Callithrix jacchus: one gene and its partners. The protein of the gene in region 2 interacts with the protein of the main gene of each other region in a biochemical or structural test. Links are inferred from orthologs where the notes say so. Each region holds a gene or a part of one and is shown on either strand. Other genes may lie near its edges.

The links.
Region 1: the proteins of PEX19 (region 2) and PEX13 form a complex in vitro, tested with the Homo sapiens proteins (2 studies listed by BioGRID and IntAct, with this or other methods). The link is inferred for Callithrix jacchus from reciprocal best matches to the Homo sapiens genes PEX19 and PEX13.
Region 3: the proteins of PEX19 (region 2) and ABCD1 form a complex in vitro, tested with the Homo sapiens proteins (3 studies listed by BioGRID and IntAct, with this or other methods). The link is inferred for Callithrix jacchus from reciprocal best matches to the Homo sapiens genes PEX19 and ABCD1.
Region 4: the proteins of PEX19 (region 2) and ABCD2 form a complex in vitro, tested with the Homo sapiens proteins (3 studies listed by BioGRID and IntAct, with this or other methods). The link is inferred for Callithrix jacchus from reciprocal best matches to the Homo sapiens genes PEX19 and ABCD2.

What each region holds. Positions count from the first base shown.
Region 1 is NC_133515.1:53,106,792-53,110,420, reverse strand, and holds part of PEX13 (peroxisome biogenesis factor 13), read left to right. Parts: intron 1-621; coding exon 622-1,316; intron 1,317-3,629. UniProt on the Homo sapiens protein: Component of the PEX13-PEX14 docking complex, a translocon channel that specifically mediates the import of peroxisomal cargo proteins bound to PEX5 receptor.
Region 2 is NC_133519.1:20,233,331-20,237,619, reverse strand, and holds the start of PEX19 (peroxisomal biogenesis factor 19), read left to right. Parts: upstream 1-1,434; 5' UTR 1,435-1,449; coding exon 1,450-1,713; intron 1,714-3,080; coding exon of another isoform or gene 3,081-3,190; intron 3,191-3,618; coding exon 3,619-3,784; intron 3,785-4,232; coding exon 4,233-4,289. UniProt on the Homo sapiens protein: Necessary for early peroxisomal biogenesis. Acts both as a cytosolic chaperone and as an import receptor for peroxisomal membrane proteins (PMPs).
Region 3 is NC_133524.1:149,644,642-149,648,803, reverse strand, and holds the start of ABCD1 (ATP-binding cassette sub-family D member 1), read right to left. Parts: upstream 2,854-4,162; 5' UTR 2,436-2,853; coding exon 1,536-2,435; intron 1-1,535. UniProt on the Homo sapiens protein: ATP-dependent transporter of the ATP-binding cassette (ABC) family involved in the transport of very long chain fatty acid (VLCFA)-CoA from the cytosol to the peroxisome lumen.
Region 4 is NC_133510.1:36,194,190-36,197,818, forward strand, and holds part of ABCD2 (ATP-binding cassette sub-family D member 2), read left to right. Parts: intron 1-689; coding exon 690-909; 3' UTR 910-3,629.

The DNA of each region.
Region 1 (3,629 bases), on a different chromosome or scaffold from region 2:
TTTTTGAGGTGATGAAAATATTCTGAATTAGACATGGTGATAGTTACACACTTCTGTGAGTATACTGAAAACTATTAAACTTTAGGCCGGGCATGGTGGCTCACGCCTGTAATCCAAGCGCTTTGAAGACCAAGGCGGGCGGATCACCCGAGGTTGCGGGTTTGAGACCGGCCCGACCAACATGGTGAAACGCTGTCTTTAAATAAATTTTAAACATTAAAATGATGGCTAGGTGCAGTGGCTCACTCCTGTAATCCCAGCACTTTGGGAAACCAAGGTGGGTGGATTGTTTGAGCCCAGAAGTTTGAGACCAGCCTGGGCAACATGACAAAACCCCATCTCTATAAAAAATTTTAAAAAGTAGCCAGGTTTGATGGCATTCACCTTTAGTGCCAGCTGCTTTGGAGGCTGAGGTGGGAGGATCACTTGAGCCTAGGAGGTTGAGGCTACAGTGAGCTTTGATTGTGCTACTGTGTTACAGCCTGGGCAACAGAGTGAGACTCTGTCTCTAGATCAGTAGAATTTGTCACAGCACTAGGTATATAGGAGGTGTTTTATAGTTACTTTGAATTGAATTTATTGTACGCTTAAATAACTGTTTTGAATCTTCTTTGGTTTTAGATCTGCTGATTTGGGTCCTACTTTAATGACAAGACCAGGACAACCAGCACTTACCAGAGTGCCCCCACCTGTTCTTCCAAGGCCATCACAGCAGACAGGAAGTAGCAGTGTGAACACCTTCAGACCTGCTTACAGTTCATTTTCTTCTGGATATGGTGCCTATGGAAATTCATTTTATGGAAGCTATAGCCCTTATAGTTATGGATATAATGGGCTGGGCTACAACCGCCTCCGTGTAGATGATCTTCCACCCAGTAGATTTGTTCAGCAAGCTGAAGAAAGCAGCAGGGGTGCATTTCAGTCCATTGAAAGTATTGTGCATGCTTTTGCCTCTGTCAGTATGATGATGGATGCTACCTTTTCAGCTGTCTATAACAGTTTCAGGGCTGTATTGGATGTAGCAAATCACTTTTCCCGATTGAAAATACACTTTACAAAAGTGTTTTCAGCTTTTGCATTAGTTAGGACTATACGGTATCTTTACAGACGGTTACAGTGGATGTTAGGTTTAAGAAGAAGCTCTGAGAATGAGGACCTCTGGGCAGAAAGTGAAGGAACTGTGGCATACCTTGGTGCTGAGGACCAAGCAGCTAACTCAGCAAAATCTTGGCCAATATTCTTGTTCTTTGCCGTTACTCTTGGTGGTCCTTACCTCATTTGGAAATTGTTGTCAACTCACAGTGACGAACTAACAGGTAAGGGAACACGTTCAGATACTATATAACAATCTCAAATTTCAAGAACAGATTTGTTAAATTAGTTTTCTTTATATTCATTTGTATTTACTGTTTTGGTCCAGTTATATTTTCAGTTAAGAGCTTCAAAACTGGCAGAGAAATATATAGCAAAAATAGGTTTGCTGATTAGTTTATTGTTCAGTTAAACAGTACATATTACCTTACTGTTTACAAGTTACTGAACTTGGTGCTGTAGAGGATACAAAGCTTCATAGAGCATAATTCCTGTCTTTCTAAAATGTGTTGGAAGGGAGGTGGTGTAAGACACAAATACTTCATTAATTGTAATGAAGCAGAAAGTGTGATAAGAAATACGACAGTTGGGGAGAGATGTAAGGTTTCTTGAAACCTTTTTTAATATGTGAGACACTGCGCACGGTATTTTGTGTGTTGTATCTCAATTATTTCAACAACCCAAAGAGATAGAAATTATCCTCATTTTACAAGTGATAAAACTGAGATTCAGAGACTCGCTTATCCAGGGTCACATATTTAATAAGGCAGAACTATAAACAAAACCAGGTCTGCTTCAATGTTAAGCTGTATTCTCTCAACTGGTACAGAGTATTAGCTCACTTTAGAAGAGGGAAGCTATCATTTTTGACTGTGGTATCCAGGAAGAAATGGCATCTAAGTTACATTTTTGAAAGCTAGGCAACCTTTCATCAGTTAAATAAAGAAACGAAAACTATCAAGCTGATAGACCAGCTTGAACAAAAGTACATAGGCAGAAAATAAGAGATTTGTTTGGCAGTTGTCCTATATAGTATTAAGAAATAATATGAGAAATTAGGTTGAAAGCTAATAGTAGAAGCTCTTAATTGCCATTATGAAACAATCTTTACATAAGGAATGGATGGTTTTTTTAGCAGTTTATGTTTGTTTTTAAGTAGACTGTGTCGTACGTGTAAACAGTAAAGAAGTCAGTCTGAAGTGTTTAAGATATGTCAGTAAAAGTCAAAACAGGGGCCAGGTGTGGTGCTTAATCCCAGCACTTTGGGAGGCTGAGGCAGGCAGATCACGAGGTCAGGAGTTCAAGACCAGACGGGCCACCATGGTGAAACCCCATCTCTACTAAAAAATACAAAAATTAGTTTGGCATGGTGGCTCGTGCCTGTAATCCCAGCTACGGGAGAGTCTGAGGTAGGAGAATTGCTTGAACTGGGACCCAGGAGGCGGAGGTTGCAGTGAGCTGAGATTGCAACACTGCACTTCAGCCTGGGCTACGGAGCAAAACTCCATCTCAAAAAAAAAAAAAGTCAAAAGAGGTTGTAATTCATAAAGGATTTAGGTTATGTTCACCTTTGTATTCCTACTATCTAAGCTGCTTGGCAAATAGAAGGTACTTAATAGGTATTTTTTAATTTGGGGGTATCAGTTATGATACTTTTACCTTAGACTATTTGAAAGATAATGAAGACCCAAACTAGAGTGTGTGAGAAGCAGGATTGATATAATAGATTTAGTGGATGTAGTCACTGACTAAATGAGGTATATAAAGGCAAAGTAGAAATCAAAATACCCTAGACCTTTAAATTTGGGTTATTAGAGGGATAACATTTTATTCGTTAACTCAATAAATATTTGTTGGGCGCCAACTACATACCAAAGAGTTCTCAGAGCTAGGGATATAGCAATGAATAAAATGTATTTTAAAAATATCTGCCTTTGTGACAATCTAATAAGGGAGAAACAGTAAGAAAATAAATAAAATATATAGTAAGCCTGAAGGTGCTAAGTGCTACAGGGGAAAAAACAAAACAGGGAAGAATATTGGGAGTGTCAGGAGTAGGAACAGGGGTTGAACTGCACATACAGTCAGGGAATGCCTCCCTGAAGCAGTTGAGGGAATAAGCCCTACAGCTCTTTAAAGGAAGAGTGTTTTGAGGCATAGGGAACAGCAAAAGTACAGAGGTATTTAAGTGGCATGTCATGGGAACAGGAAGGAGGCCAGTGTGGTTGGAGCAAAGTGTTAGTGGCAGGAGATGAAGGCAGTAGATGGTATAAGTAATCCCAACACTGGGAGGCTGAGGCCTGCAGATCACTTGAGCCTGACAAATCATGCAAGCTAGTTTGGCCCTCTTTCTCACATGCACTCTCTTGCCATGTGATATGCCTTCTGCCATGTTATGACACAGCAAGAAGGCCCTTACCAAATGCAGAACCCTTGATCTAGGATTTTCTGACCTCTAGAACTGTGAGCAAATAAACTTTTATTGTTTACAAATTACCCAGTCTGTAGTGTTCTGTTAAATCAGCATAAAACAAAGA
Region 2 (4,289 bases):
TGGGGCTGGAATTTAGGTTTTGTAACTTTCAGCCAAATATGTTTTTATCCCAAAACACACTATTTGTGGTTGGAGGAAAACCAGTTTTACACAGATACTGTTTGACAAGTCTGTGCCCTGTCTGTGAAGGACAAAGTGCCTGATCTGGTGCTTGAAGCAGTACTTAAACGTGTGTTTAGGAAGCTAAGAATGAAAATGATGAGGTGACTTATTTTTTTCATTTAAAATTATTACCTTGTATCACACTTAGCGTGTGTATATCTCATCATGCCTCCAGCTCACCCCCACTTAGCTACCTTACAGCTGAGGCTGGTCCTGATTTATCCCCCTGTACTTGATGTGCCCAGCACAAGACCTTAACAGTAGGTGGTCTCTAAGTGCCAAAACAGATTTGTATGTGAAACAGTTGGTACATTCTGACAAATCTGAATAGAACAATTCCAAAGGAGGAAACGGAAATCTAGAGTTACCTCTGTCTGAGCATCCCCTTGTTCACTCAGTTGGAGGTTGGGTTCTGGGTGGAGAAAAGGAGACAGGTCAGAGAAAGGAAGTCTATTACAACTACATTTGAATTGCCCTCCTGCTCAGTCCAAGGTCTCTTTCTAACATTGAGTTCTAAGTTCCTGGCCCTGTGTCCTTTAATCAAACAGTTCTAATAGAAAATAGGAAATGAGAGGTGCCACTAGATTGGGCAGACAAATATGCCTGATATTTACACTGGGAGAGCAGAGTGGCCAGCGAGTGCCTACTAAGTTTTAAGCCCTAGCCTAGGAACTGGGCTTTGCAGCAGTGAAGACAACAAACGAAAAATCTTTGCATTCATGGTGCTTAAATTCTGCCGAGTAGGGAGCGGAGAATAAACAAGTACAGTAGATAGTATGTCAGATAGTGTTCAATGTTAGCAAGAAAAGGAATGGGAATGGCCAAGGAAAGCGTTTCAGAGAAGATAACATTTGAGTGAAATAATGAAGTGAGGCCGGGCGCGGTGGCTCACGCCTGTAAATCCCAGCACTTTGCAAAGCTGAGGTGGGCGGATCGCATGAGGTCAGGAGTTCGAGACCAGCCTGGCCAATAAGCTTGCCCAACATAGTGAAACTCTTATCTCTACCAAAAATACAAAAATTTGCCGGACGTGGTGCCGCATGCCTGTAATCCCAGCTAATTGGGAGGCAAAGGCAGGAAAATAGCTTGAACCTGGGAGGCTGAGGCTACAATGAGCCGAGATGGCGACAGACCGAGATTCCATTTCAAAAAAATAAGTGAGAGAAAGTGGCATGTTACGTACCATAACTGTCTTCTCAATTATATATGTATAGATTGTAGGCAGTTTGTCCCGTCTGGCCTAGTCACACAGCTCAGGAAAAAATAATGAAAGAGCTTCGCCAGGTAATTTGGGACTCCGGGCCTCTAAAACCAGGCAGAAAATAACAGTATCTTATCCCTAATTCCATGGTTCTCAGGCGAAAGGGGGAAAATACCCAAAACACAGTAAGTGAAGCTTCCTGGCCCTTTAAAAATGGCGGTTCCGCACTGGCCAACAATACCATTGGTTGCTCGAGGCAGAAGAGGGCGGGAGCGAAGGGGTGGGGGGCGTGGCTGCGCCGAAGGGGTCCCGCCTCCTACGGCAAGTCGGAGGTAGCAAGATGGCGGCCGCTGAGGAAGACTGTGGTGTCGGGGCCGAAACGGACAGGGAATTGGAGGAGCTTCTGGAAAGTAAGAGCTCATAGTGGGAAGGACCCGAAGGGGGCAGGTGTGAGGACCCATTCAGAAGGTTAAGTTAACCTGAGATATTAGGGAAGGGGCAGGAGAGGCTCTCCAAAGGCTAGATGGGGGCGGAGAGTGACCGCGAGCCCCCCAAAAATCTCTGGGTCATCCTGCCCTACCTCCGCGACTGGAGCTGGGGAGCTCAACCAGGGGTCCCTCAGTGGTCTAGATTGTGGATCTTAACGGAGGATGGTGTTTCACGATACCTCTCCAAACTCCTCTTTCTTTAGGTTACTAAGTTTTTAAAGTCCAACTTCCCTCCCTTCAGCAGCGGCAGCAGCATTGGGTAGCGAACCACATATTCTCTGATTGCTTACATTAACTCCCAGCAAGCTTGTGGCCCGTCCTTCTGTGTCTCATCCTGTCTTCCTTAGCACCAAAGACACTTTTCTCCTCGTAGTCTTTTTTTCTCTCTCGCTAGGCCCCTTACAGTTACTTCATCTTGTCAGTAGCTCAAGCGGACTCCTTTCCCTTATTTTCAGAAACTGAGGATAAGGTGATTTCAGGGGAAAGCAGTTCACCCTCCTGAAAGACGGTGGTGGTTTTCTTAGCATTATTCTCCACTCCCCTGTTGGTTTCCTGCCCAGAGTGGGGCCAGTGCCCTCTCCCTAGGCCTGGCATGCAGAGTGGTGGTGAGGACACAGGCTTTTCAGGGCAGAGGTGAATTTGTAATCTCTAGTTCAGTCACAGAAATGTGGGCAGACAGAAAAATAAACTGAAACTCTGAGGAGTGCCAGATGACTGTGTGAATTAGTGTATGGTTATCTGCAGAGATCAGGCCAAAGGGAGCTCTAGGAGGTTGTGGGGGAGCACTCGACTGGAGAATAAGAGAAGAGAGTTTAATGCCTTCACATGGAGTGCAGTATGTAGTCCCTCAGTCTGTGCTGATACCAGTACCAACAGGAAGCTGGGTGGGATCTTGTGCTTTCTCACCAAGTTATTCCTTTTAGAGCTCCAGACTGAGTTCAGAGGGATGAGGACATATGTGTTCTCTACTCCTGCTGGGTATTCGTATGGGATTTTTAGGGATTCATTAGGGTGTGGCAAGGGAGACACTATAAATGGAGATGTGTCTGCAGAACTTTTTAATCCTCTCCCAACTCTGAGATGGACACTTGTTTGCCTTAAGGGATTTCTTTGCCTTTGCTCACAGTAAATTACATAATCCAGAGGGAAGTAGGTGACTCGTTGGGGTGGTTCGGGGAGGTGGGGGAATTTGAAAAATCATATTCCTAATGCTTTGTCCAGAAACCACCCACCTTTGCTTGCATCCTTATCTATCATCAACACACACACCATGTCTCTTGTCTCTGAAGGTGCTCTTGATGATTTCGATAAAGCCAAACCCTCCCCAGCACCCCCTTCTACCACCACAGCCCCTGATGCTTCGGGGCCCCAGAAGAGATCGCCAGGAGACACTGCCAAAGTATAAATTCTACCCCAATTAAGGGATGGGGAGGGGATGGGGATGCAGCTCTGAGCAGATGTTGGGCAGGCCCCTATGGGCCAGAGGGGAATGGGGGAGGGTAAGTTGGCCTCACATTGGTGAGTGCTGTTGCCAGCCTCAGCCCTTGTGAAATAAGGACTTGAAGTTGAGCAGAGGACTCTCAAGAGACTTCCTTGAAAAAAGAGGAGGTTTAAATGGTTGGATTAGTATGCCATCTCATACCTTCCTTCAATGGCTAGATGCCTTTTTTGCTGTCCTCATTAGGAGCAGTAGTTAGGAATGTCCAGTGGAAGTGGGCAGGAGGGAGGTGCTACATTTCCCAGAGCCACTGCCTGTGGCTTCTGTCAGAGGCCAGATGCAGTGTAGTCCTAAGTAAGAGACACATTTCAGCCACCCTTCCCCTGCAGGATGCCCTCTTCGCTTCCCAAGAGAAGTTTTTCCAGGAACTATTCGACAGTGAACTGGCTTCCCAAGCCACTGCAGAGTTCGAGAAAGCAATGAAGGAGTTGGCTGAGGAAGAGCCCCATCTGGTGGAGCAGTTCCAAAAGCTCTCAGAGGCTGCAGGGAGAGTGGGTGAGGAGACCCCAGATAAACAGAAACATCTGAACAGACTCTTAAGTCTTTGTTGCTTGAAAACACCAGAAATCTTAGTAAAGTTGATAGCAATCATGACGTCACAATCATGGGATGAGGAAATGCAATGGGAGAAGGGATGGGAACCCCTCTTCATGAAGAGGTGTGAGATAGGTTGGAAAGTAATAGCAAAGATTATTCAAAACTGACCGTTTGAAAGGTCCCGGTGTTATGGTGGGTGCCATCATGGAGAATAAACTGAAACAGAGTTCGTGTATTAAATAGATGTATGAAAAGACTATGAAGATAACCATAGCATTTTCAAGATGTGGAGTGATCATGATTCACTAGTAAATGCTTCATATCCAAGCAGTTAACCAGTTCAGTCTAGGCAAGAAAACAATTAAACTCCTAAATGACCTTGGCTTTTTTTTTTAATCTTTCCTAGGCAGTGATATGACCTCCCAGCAAGAATTTACTTCTTGCCTAAAGGAGACACTAAGTG
Region 3 (4,162 bases), on a different chromosome or scaffold from region 2:
CCAGCAGGACTGGCACGGGCCATATAACTGCCCCAGCAAGGGCCATCCAGCCATCGGGGGGTCCTATCACCCCACACAGCTTTCCAGCTGAGGCCTATGCAGACAGGCCGCAGACCCACATGGGGCCCTCCTGCCCCAGCCAACAAACTCTTGGCCAACACACTACTTCCTCATGCTAGCCCAGACGAAGGCCTTCAAACAACCAGTGATCTCTCTACTTCCTGAAGCTAGCTCAGATGAAGGCTTTAAAAAACCAGTGATCTCTCTTCTGCCCCTGCCACCCAGGTCAGCCTGTACAGCTCAGCTCCTCACAAGCCCGATCTCCCATTCCTGAAGTGAGCACCCTGGCAATCCAGACTCGTGCTGGGAGCTGGCAGGGGTGCCAGCCAAGGCTGACAATGTAGCTGCAGGGAATGTGCCAAGTGCCTCGCCCAAGGCTGCGGCTGCCTGCCAAGGCCCTGCAGCCCAGCATGCGGGAGAAGAGCAGAGGGAAGCCGGGGTGGTGGCTGAAGTCCAGGTGCCTTTTCTCTGAATCTGCAGTCTGGCCCACACCCGGGATGCCCCTCTCCGTGGAGTTTGGGGACAAGCCTGCTTCTCTGCTGGTGCACAGTCAGTGAGTCCAGGTCCCAGGGCAAGAGGTCACCTGACTCAGGGAGCACACACAGGCCTTCAGGGGATAAATGCCATTGTGCCCTTCCTCCCAAGAAGCACTAGGGAACTGAAACTGAGTCGCAGAGAGACGGGCTCAAGGCAGCTGCAACCCTAGGCATGGGGAAGGGGAGGGGCCGATCCGAGATGAAGGGAGCGCTGACCTGGAATAACCTTTCCCAGCGCCTGCCTAGCCTGCCCGCCCCGGCCTGCCAGGAGCAGGAAGTGTGTCCCGCCGTAGTGGCAGCCTGGGGCCGGCATCTCTGGTCTGGTGGCCCAGGAAGGCAGCTGAGCCAGTTGGTAGCTGGGCAGGCCCGTGGGCTCAGGAGGGGGTGGCCTTGACCCCAAGTCCTACTGCTGCACTGGGCACTGCTCATTAACCTCCGCTTGGGCTGAGTCATGCCCATAATGCTCGCCTGCCTGGCTGGCCAGCTCTGCTGGACGCCGGCCTTCAAAGGGCCCAGGGGCCCAGGAGGGGCTGAGTAGCAGGCTGCGTCCGGCGGTCGCCACTCATGAATGGCAGGCATCTCCTCCTAGCTGCCTCCAGGAGTGGGGCGGGCAGGAGCTCTCAATGCTCAAACCGCTAGGATCGAAGCTCTAAGGCCAGGACAACCTCCTTGAGGAGGAGAGGAAGCAGAAGTGGCCTGGAGCATGCAGGCAACCAGCACAGGACAGTCCCCACCCAGCCTTCCTGCCTCTCCACTACCGCGCCTGAGTCCACAGTGGCCCAAGGCCCTGCCCACCCCAGCCCTGCTCTCTCATGGCCTGCCCACACCTTTGGCATCAGCCCTGGCCTGTCCCGGGCTGTCCCCACCGCTCACGACTGCCTGCCCCGGGCCTCCCTGCCAAACGTTTCCCTCCATGCCCAGCACCCCAACCTGCCCCACCTCATGGCCCCCGTAGAAGGCGATCTCCTCCGAGTTGGCCACCACACGGGAGTGCATGTAGCGCAGCTCCCCCTTCCGCCGTGCCTCCTCTGCCACCAGCTCCCCGAACTTGGGCGAGAAGGCCCGCAGCACGTTGGCGGTTAGGAACACCACGAGGCCGGCAATGGCCGAGGGCCAGGCTGTGCCGGCCCCACGGGAGCGGGCAGCCCGAAGCAGGGTGTAGGAAGTCACGGCCACATCCAGGAGTGGCTTGGTCAGGTTGGAGTAGAGGTGGGCCACAGAGGCCGCGAAGGCCACCACGTCCTCTGTCAGAGACTGGTCAGGGTTGCGAAGCCGCCCATCCATGTTGCTGACTCGGTAGTAGGTCTGCTGGGAGAAGTAGAGGCTGTAGGCGTGGGCCACCAGACGGCTGCGGAAAGACAGGGCCAGTTGGCCCTCCAGGTAGCGGATGGCACTGTTGACGAAGGTGGCAGGGAGGGCGATGAGGAGCCACTGTAGCAGCTGCCAGCCGAAGGCCCGAGGGTCCTTGCGCACGATGCAGCGGGCCAGCCTTCCGTCCAGGCGGGCCACATACACAGACAGGAAAGTGCGGCTCACCAGGGCGGCCGAGTGCAGGGCCAGCAGCCCTGTCTCCCGGCACAGGACCCGCGGGAACAGCAGCCGCAGGAGCCACAGGAGCCGCTGCAGGAATACCCGGTTCATGCCGGTCTTGGCCGCCGCGGCCCCGGAGGCCTCCTGTGTGGGGTCCCTGGCGGGAGCTTGAGGACCCCTGGCCACGGCCAGGCACTGGCGCACCAAGGGGTAGGCTTTGTGGGCTCCATAGGCCGCGAGGGCCAGGAGCACCGCCGTGCGCTTCAGCGTGCTCCCCCGCCAGGGCCGGGGCATGGAGAGCACCGGCATGTCACCTGGGCTGGCTGGAGCTGGGGCTGGGGCTGGTGCCTGGGGCAGCAGTTGAGGCAGGTGGCTGGAAGGGTTGTTGCTCGGACCCTGGGCCTGTTGTCTAGGCAACTGGAAACCTTGCGGTGGCCCCTGAGACTGTCGCTTTAGGCCCCCGGGGTGGTGCTGGGGCCCCTGGTGCAGTGGGCTCAGGGCCCTCCAGGGTCGAGGCCTCTTCGGGCAGCCCAAGTTGAGGAACTTGGTTCTCCTGTCTTGTCAGTGCCCTGGCCCCTGAGGTCAGAACCTTGAGAGGTCTCGGGGAGAGAGGGCGTCTCTTCCTCTCCACCTTCTCCTCCTCCTCCCCTGGTGGCGCCCCTCCCCGGGGCACCAGGCGCGTCCGTCCGTTCCGCAGCCTGGTTGAAGCGACTGTGACTCCTCCACTGGCCCAGAATCCCCGCCCACTCACCCCTCCCCAGGGGCGAGTCGGGGGAAGGGGAGGAGGCGGAGGAGGGGAGAGGGGCGGAGTCCGGGAGCGGGAGCCCCACCCCGTTCTCGCCCCACGGCGGGGGCGATGGCCGCGCGGGCTAGAGAAGCGGCCCTAGCCGGCCCGCCAAAGCCCCGCCCTGTCCGCGTGCCCGCTTCACCCCGCCCTTCTCCCCGCCCCGCGCGCCCGGAGCCAGAGGCGCCGCTTCCTCTCACGCCCGGGGCGCTGGCCCTCCGTTTGGGGGCGGGGCGGGAAGAGGCGGGGAACGGAGCCTCTGAGGCCTCGCGAGGGCTAGTGGGCGGTGACCGGGGGGCGCTTCCGGTTTCCGGCCGTGGGGTAAGGGGCGGGGCTGGGACTGGGGCTGCTGTGGGAGAGTTTGGCGGCTGCGGTGGGGCTTGCGGACTGAGTGTGGGAAACTCGGTGAGCGGGCTCCGCGCGCCGGGCTGGGCTCCGGGGCTGCCGAGGCTCCCAGGCTCCTCGATGAGGGAGAGAGGCGAGCAGCGCTGGGAGGCCCGGGGGCCGGGGAATCTCGGGGCCCGCAGCCTACCTGGGAGGGGCAGGGGCGAGGGGAAACTGGGCGGCATCTGTAGGATCTGGGCTCGGGGGCGGGGCGGGGCGGGGGGTGGCGAAGCCCCATCTGTAGGAGCGGCCGGGCTGGGCCTCGGGGACGCTGTGCCCTGCCGGAGCCACGTTGGGGGGCCTCCGGAGCGCGTGGCCGGCTCTCGCTCTTGGTGGGCGCTGTGGCCGGCCGGGGCTGCTGGAAGGGGCCCTAGCTTCTGAGAAAACTGCGTGTAGAACTTTCTCTGTACGAGGCCTTGAGGTGCTCGATCGAGACCTGCCTTTGCGCCTGGCCCCGACTCCTATCCTCTAGGAGTCGCTCTTGCGGGCCTCCAGCCCACCGGAGGCGGAGCGGCCCCGGGCGGAAGGCTGCTTGAGCCCCGAGGGAGGTGCTGGATTCTCTCGCAGGCGCCGTGGGGAAGGTGGGGGGGGGCGGGGGCGTCAGCAGCGCTAGGACGAGGTGCGGCCCAGGGCCCTCCTGATAGCAGGGATTTGGGCTCGCAGAGCTCCCGCCTCTGCAGCTGAGCTCCGCCTGGCGGGGAAGGGAGGGCCCGATTGGTGCCAAGGCGTCTTGTTGGCGCCCTGGTACTGCTCTTCCGAAGAACACCTTTCCAGTTAAACGGGCGTCGGGAGTCTGTGGCTCCCTGAGACAGGGATTGTTGGGAGAGGTGGCTCTAGACGTGTTGACACACGTGTTGGAGGGGGAGCA
Region 4 (3,629 bases), on a different chromosome or scaffold from region 2:
CCGACATAGCCCACAAAATGGCAGCCTCAGCCTCCCTTAGCACAAGATGGATCATTTCCTATCTTATCAGTAAAATAATCTCCATACCTCTATGAAGTTCCTAATTATGAAACTGTGCCACGAGAGATTAAATTATATAAGAATGTGGAAGTATCTTTAAAATATTTCTTCTATCAAAGAGGTGTTTTAAAAAATGTTTTTAAACTTTAATTATTGAGAAACTTTACTTACGTAGAAGAACTCATTCTCAGAGGATGTTGTATTAATGAATTGCTATTGTATTTCCTTTATTTTCCTTAGTTTTCCTACATCCTTTGAATGTTGACTTTCTTTCCTCAGCTTCCTTTCCTTACTCCCATACAGAAATAGTATTCCTTACTATTTATTTAGGAGTCACAGTGAATTATAAAGATAAATTAAATACATGCAACAGCATGTCTTCCTTTATAGTTAATATACATCCAGAATATAAAAAATATACAAGAATATTTTCCTAAAAATCAGATTAATGACTTTGGGTTTAAAAAAAAAATCACAGTATTTAAATTCTTGATATGTCCTTAAAACTCAAATGTAAAGCAGCACCTACTTAAAATTTGCCTCTGAGTATCAATTTGGATGATAAACCTACAACTAAAATGACTTTTCAAAATTATGGCTAATAATTTTATTTCATTTTAATTATGCAGGAAATACCATACACATTTATTACAGTTTGATGGTGAAGGAGGTTGGCGCTTTGAACAATTGGATACTGCTATCCGTTTGACATTGAGTGAAGAAAAACAAAAGCTAGAATCTCAGCTAGCTGGAATTCCCAAAATGCAGCAGAGACTCAATGAACTATGTAAAATTTTGGGAGAAGATTCAGTGCTGAAAACAATTAAAAATGAAGATGAGACATCTTAATTTGTTTTGACACATTTTAAAAGTTAATTATTAAATAAAGCCTCAAAGACACTCTGTTATATTGCATGAAGTATGTTAAGCTAAGCACAGATTAGAAAAAGGCAGCAAGACATGTTTTATAAGGTTTTAGTATTAAGGAAGTATATGATCTGACTTTTCAGAAGAAAAATAAACAAATTCATTATGTAAGATCAGTCATTATGACTTATACTAATTCCTAGTGAAGGCCTAATACACTTGTAAAGCAGGATTTTCTAGGTGAATTCACGATGAATACCAGATTTACTATGTATATGTGATGTGTCTGAAGTTCTTAACAAACATGGGAGATATTCTGGAAAAGAAAAAAGTTTAGAGCAGCATTTGGGTTGATACCAAGTGCATAAAATTAGAACTTTGGGTAACATTTAGTCCATTTATAGTTGATACTAGGTTTAACAGCTAGAATTCATATTGATCATTGCTAGCAGCCAACTAAACAAAACAGCTGACAGTTTGATAAATAATTTCAATATAAAAATTGTTTCAATGGCAGTGGTTCAAAGAAAAAAGCATGGCTAAAATGTATAAAACACCGTATTTTAAAAATTTAGACTTTAAACATCTTAATGAGGACATATAATAAATTAATTTTAGTAGGAATCCAAAATATTTTTAATAAGCCCTTTCATTTTAAAAGAGAATTGCCAATACAGAAAAGGAGTATCCAAACAATGTTTGTCTCAGCCTGATAATTTACTTGATAGAATTATCTATTGTAACTTCTGTTCAGAAATACACAGCTTGTTTTTTTGCCCAAGAATGAGATTCCACATTTTAAGAATTGCAGTGATATAATAGAATTTAAGGATTCTGAGAATCACAGTAATCATATACATTGGAATAGTACTTTATAATTTACAATCTCCATTTACATCACTTCACTTTAATTCTCGTGGCAATGTTTTGAGACAGATATTATTTTTCCTACTTTGCTTTTGAGAGAATTAACACTAAGACTTGCCCTAATCATGCAATTTATTTGAGGAAAGATCCAGAAATCAAATGAAGTGTTCTTTACTCCCTGGTTTAGTACTCTTTGTTATTATTTTTTAAATCAAACTAGGCTATAATAGCAACAAAAGTTAGATGAGGTGTTGAAAATAAAATAAATTTGGTAATGGTAGTCTTATTGTTATTTGTTTATTGTTTAGAAGAAATAAAAATTAAGTACAAAGTGCAAAGATCATTGTTCTGTGGTTTAAAATGAACCAAGAAAGTTATGAAATCATTTAGCAACTATGCAGTCTTACTTAATATGAACATACCTCTAAGGCATCAGCAATCAGAAGAGCAAATAATCATGGTTTTGGTAAATTTAATATTTATTGAACATAATGAGAAATAATCTGCATGGACTAGCCATATGAAATAGATCTTATTCTATTTGTGTGCACTGGAGTTGGAAGTACAAAAGCTAAGACTGAAACTTCAATCTCTTGCTGCCTATGACACCACTTTGGTAGGCCAGAAGAATATTGGAATGATCAGTTGTTAGCGGCCTAGAATTTTATTGCCTGTTGAGACACAGCCATAATAAATGTTAACTCTGTGATTCTTAGCCCTTCTCAAGTGATAGAGTACCTGGAAGTCATTCATAATGGTCATTATAGAACATCATAACATTTTCACATTTTCAATTCTACTGTGATAACGAGTGCATTTTTAATTGTCAATAAATGTAACCAACTTACATGAAGTAATGCAATATAAAATCATAATCAATACATTTGTCCAACATTTTCTGTTAGTATCATCACTTACTTATTCATCAGTTACTAATATTTCCTGCTAGAAAAGTGAGGCAGGTTTTAAAGATTTTAAGAAGCATGGAACCAACACTTAACCTTGCTAAAAATTATTCATTAATCTTTTCTACAAAAGTAGTTATCCAGTTTATACTGCTGTAAGGGGAAAAGTCTGAGGCAAGTGTCTTAAGTTAACTGTTAAAGTAAAGAAGAAAATGAAAAATCCTCATGTGAAAGATGTGTATAATTTTCATGCCTTAATTTTCATAATATAAAAATAAAACATAATTTTTAAAACCCTGATATTTTGTTTTGAAACATTGAAAAGAACGTCAAAACAAATATTAGATTTGTAATTAGTCATTATTTAATATATTTTATCAGTGAACTAAAGCAAAAAAGACTCATTATTTATAATGTACAGGATTCAAATATGTCTAAAACTCTGCATTAAAAACTATATACACTGTAATTTAAATGTTAAAGTTCTAATAGAAACATGTTTTCCATGAGCTTTTTGTGCCTATTTGTTTTATAAATTTATTTTTCAGGACCTTAACTTGGAGGGGAAAAAATCTCTGCTTTGAACTTGTATTTATATACCATTCAGTTGTTTCCAAATGATCCAATGGATATATCATATTTTACTATTCTTATAGTTATATTTTATGAAAAATACTGAGAAACTAGCCATTTTGAATATAGCAAGAAATAGATGAGGAAAGGAAAAAGGAATGTTTCAAGTTTCAAACTGCTTTTACCATGTTGTATCTATTTGCCAAAACATTTTATATTTTTGGTCAGAAAAAAAAGCTGTAAGTTTATGGAGCTTGATTATAAAATGTGTATTCTTTAGTTTAACTCCTAAACTTGGAAAATAAGTTGCATTCTATGAAAATGTTGCATTATATTTCTACAGCATGTAATGTTATG